Linked DNA regions of Canis lupus familiaris. The protein of the gene in region 1 interacts with the protein of each later gene in a biochemical or structural test. Links are inferred from orthologs where the notes say so. Each region holds a gene or a part of one and is shown on either strand. Other genes may lie near its edges. The genes, in order: CABIN1 and MEF2D.

Region 1 (4,589 bases):
GAGTTGGAAGTCTTATCATCCTTGTACACCTTGTACGTCAGTGGAGTACCAAGTTGAGATTTTTGGTCTATGCTGTCAACGTGGTAAAGTTAGTTCCCAATGGAACAGTTCTTGTGCTTTTGCTTTTTGTACCCTACCACTGCTGTGGACTCTCATTAAAACCTAGAGCTCGGAGTTCCTTCCTTTGGCTCCCTGGCCCAACTTTTCCTGTGCTCTTTCCTTCTGCCAACATGGTGTTCTGCTTCCCAGAGGGGCTCAGGGAATGTTCCTGGGTTGAATCTGAATGAATGGTTAAAGTGCCCAAGGAGGGATTCAGGCCTAACTCTAGCCAGGACCATAAGGTAGTAGCCTCCTGCCTTGGTCCCACTTTGAATGTTTTTCCCCTACTGTAGTGAGAATGAGGTCATTTGGTTGCTGTGGACGATTATCCCCTCCCTGTCTCCACATTATCCTCACTGTGGCCCTGAACTTTGGCCCCTGGTAATACTGTGCTGCCAGAGTGATCCTACACTGCCTGTACTGTTTCTCACCTCCAAAAGCTTGCCACACAGCTCCTTGCTACGTGGGCCGCTCTTGCCATCTTTTTTCACCTGTTTCACTCCAGAGCATATTTCAAGATACGACTCAGGTGTGAGAGCTGCATCCAGGGGTGCTTGTTATCTATTAAACTTGAAACCACCTGTTTCTGCCTGGGTCCACTGCCCTCCCCCCCAAGGCTGTACTCTCCATGTCAAGATTAGTGACTCCATTATTTTTTGCAACTCCTGGTGCACAACTGAAGCTTATTGTTCTGAACTGACGCTATGAGTTCATGATTTTATCGCTTTTACATAAGGTCAAAGAGAAAGCCATAACATTCATTCCTATTTAATTTTTTTTTTTTTTTTTTTGCTGGACTCCAGCAACTATGAATCCCAACCACTCTTGAAACCTTTCCCTGAAAAACCTCTGAGCTTCCAAGGGTTTAACCTCTTTCAGCCCAAGGCCGTTTTCGGGAAACTTTCAATGCTGAATCCTCTTTTCAGCTTTGGAATTCTGTTACTCCCTCCACCCCCCCCCCCCCCCCCCCCCGTTCATTTACCCGTCTTTTTTGTGTGTGTGTGTGTGACTTTTATCTTTGTCTCTTTAAGATTTTATTTATTAATGAGACACACACACACAGAGAAAGGACAGACACAGGCAGAGGGAGAAGCAGACCCCATGCAGGGAGCCCGACGTGGGACTCGATCCGGGGTCTCCAGGGTCACACCCTGGGCTGAAGGCGGCGCTAAACCCCGAGCCACCCGGGCTGCCCTTTATCTTGGTCTCAATGGCTGATTGTATCCGTACCTTTCGGGCTTCAAATCGTTTTCAGAACGAGGCGAGGCTCGGGATATATAAGGGGGAACGCCCCTCCTCCCCCGGTTCCCGCTAAGCGTCCCCAAGTGTCCCCTGCCTTCCGAGCACCTGCCCCAGGTTGTAGCAAACCGTCCTTTAGCGGCTGCTCAGGGCCAGGCGCCGAGCTCCGCGTTTCCCAGGTGTTACAAGCGGCGGAGCAGGGAAGCCCGACCCACGTCGTCGGGGCGCGCCCGCAGCAAGCAGCCGGAGGGGGACACTCGCGCGCCCGCCGCTCGCAGCCCGCGAGGGCCAGGGGAGCTCGCTCGCCCGGCGGCGCGTGCGCCCTCGCTGATTGGCCAGCGGAGCCGGCACCGGAGCCAATGGGAGCGCGCCTTATTGTCAGGCGCGCAGCCGGCCGGCGCGGGGGTCGAGGCGGGCAGGCCGTTGCCTTGGAGACGCCCGGTGAGTTCCCGGGTGGCGGGCTCGGGGGCCTCCCCCGGGAGGGGGCGCGGCTCTGCTGAACGGGGGGCGGGAGAAGGGGCGCGGGCCTGGGGGGCAGCGGGCGCCGGGCCGAGGCCGGTGTGGACGCGGGAGCGGGGGGGCAGAGGGGCGCCCCCGGTAGCCTGAGTGTCCCATTCGGGGAAACCGAGGCCGGAGGGCGGTAGCGGCTTGGCCGGGCCTCCTCCCCGCCCTGGCCGTCACCCTGGGGTGCCGAGGCCGGGCTCCAGCGTCGGGAGCGGTTCTCGGCTACGGCAGCGGGAGCCACCATTGACGGCGCGTCTGCCCGGCGCTGAGCCCGGGGCTCGCCCCTTGGCTTGCGTCCTTTGACTTCACCTTCACAGCAGCCCCGAGAGGTGAGTGCTGCTGCTGCCCGTAGCGCCGTGTACACGGCTGGAAACGGAGGCCCTCGCGCGGTGAAGGGTCTTGTCCAGAGTCAGCCGACCAACTAGTGGACCAGCCCAAGTCTAGACTGAAAGAAAAACATAAATGTTAAAGATTTTATTTTTGAGTAATCGCTGCACCCCCTGTGGGGCTTGAACCTATCACCAGGAGGTCAAGAGTTGCATGCCCTAAGGACTCAGCCCGCCAGGCGCCCCTAGACTGAAAATCTTGACTGCGCTGCTTCCTAGGAGGAGGAGGAGGAGGACCCCAGCTACACACAGCCTACTGACACACTCAGGTGTCCGCACAAGTGACTTCGGAGTCACTTAATTCTTTGGGGCCTGGCTTACTATGGGTTTATGGGGCTTAACTATGGGACTTGGGGTTTCACGCAGCTAAAATTCGTTGCATGGGATTCATAACTGTGGTTACAACGAAAAAATCTGGGACGCCTGAGTGGCTCAGCGCTGGAACATCTGCCTTCTCAGCTCAGGTTGTGAACCCGGGTCCTGGGATCGAGTCCCGCATGGGGCTCCCTGCGTGGAGCCTGCTTCTTCCTTTGCCTACGTCCTCTGCCTCTCTCTCTCTCTCTGTGTGTCTCTCATGAATAAAATAAAATTTTAAGAAAAAAACAAAAACGAAAAACCTGAAACATGCTTTGAGTGGTCTCCTTCAGAGGTCGGCAGACTTATGTTGTAAGTGCAGTAATATTTGTAATATTAATAGAATTATATATCAGAGTATGCTGTGAATGTAATAAACATTTATAATAGTATTTTAGGCTTAGGAGGCCTACTTTGTCTACTCCGTTCTGGCATCGTACAGTGGATACAGGCAGAGACAATAGGTAAACGAGTGGCAGTGTTCCAATACAATTTTATTTATGGACACTAAAATTTGAATCTTATGTAATTTTTATATGATTTTCGTGTGTCACAAATTTTTTCATCCATTTAAAAATGTCAGAACCATTCTTTGCTCCAAGGCAGGTTAGCTTGCAGACCCCTAGTCTAGCCCAAAACCTCATCGGGTAGAGGAAACTGAGAATCAAAGAGGGGTCTCTTAGGCCAAGCTGATGACACAGCCAAGAAGAGCCACAGCATAGCCTAAGATCTAGGCTTCCTGACTCCCAGACCAGAGCATGTCAGGAAATGCCACCTTTTATCACTGACTGGGTCAGGGTGCTGAGTTACTCAGTGTGTGCTCTTCTTTACCATATGTTCTTAAGGCTGTGGAAACCATGGCCTAACGAGTTTGGAAATTTGTGAGGTTAAATTCCTAAATATGCTATTCTGGGATAATATGATTGCTGGGCTGGGAGTCTGAGAAAAGAATAGATATTTTCTTTCTTCCTTTCTTTATTCAATAGTTCTTGCTCCTTAGTCTCCTTAGTCCTTTTTTATTTTTTTTTAACGATTTTCTTTCTTTATTCGTGAGAGACACAGAGAGAGACACAAAAGACTTCTGCAGAAGGAGAAGCAGGGGGCAGCCCTGGTGGCGCAGGGGTTTGGCGCCGCCCGCAGCCTGAGGTGTGATCCTGGAAACCCGGGATCAAGTCCCACATCGGGCTCACCGCACAGAGCCTGCTTCTCCCTCTCCCTCTGCCTGTGTCTCTGCCTCTCTCTCTGTGTCTATGAATAAATAAGTAAAATCTTAAAAAAAGGAGAAGCAGGCTCCCTGTGGGGAGTCCGATGCGGGACTCGATTCCAGGACCCTGGGATCATGGCCTGAGCTGAAGGCAGCCGCTCAACCACTGAGTCATTAAGGCATTGCATCCCAGTCCCTTAGTCCTTAATGATTACTTAGTGTTGTCTTAGTCTTGATATTTTTCAAGAGTACTCGTCAGTAATCAGATATCAGTCTAATATCCCTCAACTTGGATTTGTCTAATGTTTTCTCATGATTCATGTGAAGTTATGCGTTTTGGGCCACAATAACACAAACATTGTGTTGTCCTTAGTGCATTATACCAAGGAGTTCAAGATGCTGATGTGTCTTATAACTGGTGATATTTATCTTGATTGCTTGGTTTAGTGTCTGCCAACTGAAAAGTTCCTATAGAGTTACTAACTTTCCCTGTCCAGTTAGTAGGTATCTTGGGTGAAATACTTTGGAAGGATGGGAATTCTGGTTTTCACAAATTTATGCCCACTGACCATAGTTAGGATCCATTTGTGGGTCCCTGTGGTGTGTGCCTAAAGGTAATGATCTATTACTCTCTTCCCTTCTACATTTATTAATTCAAATTCAATTAAAGGGAGAGCTATCCCTTCTCTCATTAGTATGGGCCCCAGGGGTATTCATTTTATTCCATTGGTTAAAATCTAATAAAAAAAAGTCTAATGTTACCATCATTTTGTTGTACACCGTTCTGACTTTGCTTGTTCAGG
Region 2 (3,803 bases), on another chromosome or scaffold:
GCCCCTGGGGGCCAGTCTCCTCGTCTGGAAAAGTTGTGGGTGTGCAGAAGGTCTCTGAGGCTCCCTGAGGGTAGCACAGACTACTTTTCAGGAGCCATTATTTTGTTATTTGTTTGTTTTTTTTTTTTTTAAAGATTTTATTTATTCACAAGAGACACAGAGACAGAGGCAGAGGGAGAAGCAGGCTCCCTGTGGGGAGCTCAATGTGGGACTCAATCCCAGGACCCCAGGATCACGACCTGAACCAAAGGCAGATGCTCAACCACTGAGCTACCCTAGTGTCCCAGGAGCCATTGTTTTTGGGAATCCCTAAACGTGGTGGTAGTTTCCTGCCATTTTCTCCGGGCCTCGCAGGCTCTTGAAGCTGGAGGGGAGGTTAGCGCATGTCCGTGAAGCCCAAATAGGTGCCTGGCAAGACCAGACTTTAGACTATTTGTCAATCTGGTGTGAAAGCAGATTCTGACCCTGGGCCTGCCCTTAGGGCCCTGCTGGGAAGTATGGGCTTCCTCACATCCTTCCAGAAGCCAGGGGCTCTGGTTCCTCTTGCTGCTGGAGCCCAGCAGCCGCCTCTGTTTTGACAGTGGGTGTTTTCAGGTGAAAACATACCCTCCATATGTAAACAAAACCCCAGTGAACACGCTGCTCATCGTCCTTGGCCCCTGCTCAAGTTCTGGCTGAGGGCGATCTGGCTCTGATGACGTCCCTGGTAAGGGACAGGCCTGGCCCCTTGTTGACACTGGCTGCAGAGGTCTGGCCTGGTTGCTGCCGGGAGGCCTGTGGGAGAGCAGTGGAGCCCCCGTCACCCTGTCATGGGCAAGGTTGTGCAGTCTCCCAGGGTGGGTGTCCTCCTTGTCTATAAAATGAGTATGGGAAGTAGTGGAGCCTTGGGGCTCCTTTATGTCCTTGCTCTACTTTTTAAGTGTGAGCATCTCAAAGCTGCTGGCTAACAGTGTTATAAGACCAGAGGCGAGCAGTCACCATCTCCAGGTGGGAGCATAGGTCAGCAAGGAGCAGGGGTCTTGCCTCAGCTGGGAGCCAAGGCTCCCCACACATAAGCTGCAGTTGCCTCGTTTGTGAATGAGTAACAGCAGCAGGCCAGTCTTCGGAATGCCTCCTGTGTGCCAGACAGTGTTGTGCGCACTTACAACGGCTGCAGGGCCCATAGGTAGAGAGCAGGTCACTTGCCTCAGATCGTGGGGCCTCAGGGAGGCAATCAGGACTCCTGACCGCCTCACTCTTGCCCTTCACCTTCTTGTTCTGCTGCTCAGTGGTGCTGTCTTCCTGCATAAAGATGGGGCCATGGCCCGTGACCCCTTGAGTAAGAGCATGGTGGTGTGGCAGGGGTACCACGTGGAGTATGCCTGTGTGCCCCCACAGTGCCACCACCCTGGGCTTCTTGGGGGGATCTTTACTAAACTGTCCCAGACAGGCAGCAGCAGGGAACACTTCACGCCGTGTCAGCCATGCAAACATCAGGTTCTTCAGACAGAAATGGTAGAAAGTGAGGAGCACCCCCTGACGAGGAATGTGTCAGAAGCCTGGCCGAGTGTGCTGAGGGCAGGTTCCCCTCGCCACCCCTTTACCCCTCAGGGCCCCAGGGCCAGAGGTGTGTCCTCTGGGTTGATGTGCGCACAATGGCTCAAACCCTTGCCACTCCTCCTCTTACGTGTTGACAGTCCCAAGATCTGGCCATGGCCGTGAGTGGAAGGGTGGTGACAGTGCGCTTCAATGCGCCAGTCCCCTGGCATCCTCACTACCACTCTGTCTCTGAAGGGTTCCTGAAGACTTGGCAGTTGAAGAAACGACCATTAGACGTATGTTAGACCTTCTGGACTTCTTTCCCCTTCTGTTTTTGAGTTGACATTCTGAGAATGCTACCTATACCTGGAAAAAAGAGTGAACAGTGTTTTAAAAAAACACCCCTCTATCCTGCTGAGAACGGCACCTGCCGCTTCCTTAGCTGCAGTCCCTGCTGGGGGGCCTGCTGAGTGCTTCCCTCCTCTCCCCCCACCCCTGCAGATTACCAGCTGAGCAGCGCTGAGCTCTCCTCCCTCCCAACCTTCAGCTCCCCCGGGGGGCTGTCGCTAGGCGGTGTCACCGCCTGGCCGCAGCCTGCGCAGCAGCCACAGCCGCCCCAGCCCCAGCCGCCCCAGCCTCCCCAGCCGCCGCAGCAGCCACCCCAGCCGCCCCAGCCACCGCAGCAGCAGCAGCAGCAGCCACAGCCACAGCCCCACTTGGTCCCCGTGTCTCTCAGCAGCCTGATGTGAGTCCTGGGGCACTGGGGGGTGGGGGTGGGGAGAGGCAGAGGTGAGGGCAGTAAGAGTAGGCTCCTCGCTCAGCGGGGCTGGGGGCTGGAGTGCTCTGTCACCCACTGGGACCACAGGATATGGGACACTGAGCACAGCCTGGAGATCCCTGCCCCCGGAGCCCCTCCCCAGCCAGCCAGGAGCACCAGGATGCCAGTCACCCGGGACAGAAAGAACTAACGTGGCTTTCTCTTCTTTCCCCTCTTCCGGCACTTGGTCCCTCTCCTGGACTCTCCTCTGTGTGCTTGTCCCTCCCTGCCGCTTCCCCACCCCACCCCCCGTCCCCACACCCCGTCCCCTCTGTGTCCTGTACCTACCCTGCTCCATCCTCGTGCCCAGCCCGGGCAGCCCTCTGCCCCACGTGGGGGCCGCCCTCACGGTCACCACCCATCCCCACATCAGCATCAAATCGGAGCCGGTGTCACCCAGCCGGGAGCGGAGCCCTGCACCGCCCCCGCCAGCCGTGTTCCCGGCCACCCGCCCGGAGCCCGGAGATGGCCTCAGCAGCCCTGCCAGCAGCTCCTATGAGACCGGGGACCGGGACGACGGACGGGGGGACTTCGGGCCCACGCTGGGCCTGCTGCGTCCAGCCCCGGAGCCTGAGGCTGAGGGCCCCGCGGTGAAGAGGATGCGGCTCGACACCTGGGTACTGTAGTGCCACCCCTCCCGCCTGCCAGTGTCTGCTGCACCCCGGGACTGCCCCCACCCCATGCCCCCACCCGGGAGGCCTCCTGGCTGCCTCTGCCCCACCGCAGGCCAGTCTGCCCTTCAGGCACCCTCAGAGCTGGCCTGCCCCCAGGGTCCTGGCCCTGCGGGGAGAGGGAAACAGGGGGCGCCTAGCTGGCGGCCGGGGCCCTGACACCCCGTTCTCCATCTCTCTCCTCTCTCCGCAGACATTAAAGTGACGATTCCCACTCCCCTCCTCTCAGCCTCCCTGACGAAGAGTTGACAATCTCACCGCCCACCCCTCCCCACCCTGGGCTCCTCCCGCTCGACCCCCACTTCCTTTTGTGCTCCATGTCCTGTTGACGGTTACATTTGTGTATAATTATTATTATTATATTATTATTATTATTATATTTTTTTTAATTTGGATTCTGGCTTTGGAGAGGGGGATGTTCCCATCCCTCTTTTTGCACCCCCTACCATTTTACTGGCTGGGGGGGGCTGTTTTTTGCGGGAAGGGGGGGACACTTTGCACGTTGTACACATATGCTGCAGGAGGGGGTGGGGAGCCCTATAGGCCTTTGGGACAGGACAGGTGTCGAGCCCTGCATGCGGAGCCCTCCCACCCCATCCCCCAGATAGAGGGAAATAACCAAAAAACCTACCAAACAACAAAACCCCTTACAATAGACTGAAACCCCAAAGTCGGCTTGATGGGTGGGTTTGTGTTTTGGGGGGAAGTGAGGCACAGCTTCTGAAAAGGATCTCTGCTTCTGGGCTGTTCTGTGGCCACGGGCATATGCAGGCCTGGCCCCCACATGCCCCTGCACA

Evidence for each region.
Region 2: the proteins of CABIN1 (region 1) and MEF2D form a complex in vitro, tested with the Homo sapiens proteins (2 studies listed by BioGRID). The link is inferred for Canis lupus familiaris from reciprocal best matches to the Homo sapiens genes CABIN1 and MEF2D.

What each region holds. Positions count from the first base shown.
Region 1 is NC_049247.1:28,608,927-28,613,515, reverse strand, and holds the start of CABIN1 (calcineurin-binding protein cabin-1), read left to right. Parts: upstream 1-1,699; 5' UTR 1,700-1,779; intron 1,780-1,918; exon of another isoform or gene 1,919-2,171; intron 2,172-4,589. UniProt on the Homo sapiens protein: May be required for replication-independent chromatin assembly. May serve as a negative regulator of T-cell receptor (TCR) signaling via inhibition of calcineurin. Inhibition of activated calcineurin is dependent on both PKC and calcium signals.
Region 2 is NC_049228.1:41,448,831-41,452,633, forward strand, and holds part of MEF2D (myocyte-specific enhancer factor 2D), read left to right. Parts: intron 1-2,019; coding exon 2,020-2,263; intron 2,264-2,645; coding exon 2,646-2,952; intron 2,953-3,199; coding exon 3,200-3,211; 3' UTR 3,212-3,803. UniProt on the Homo sapiens protein: Transcriptional activator which binds specifically to the MEF2 element, 5'-YTA[AT](4)TAR-3', found in numerous muscle-specific, growth factor- and stress-induced genes.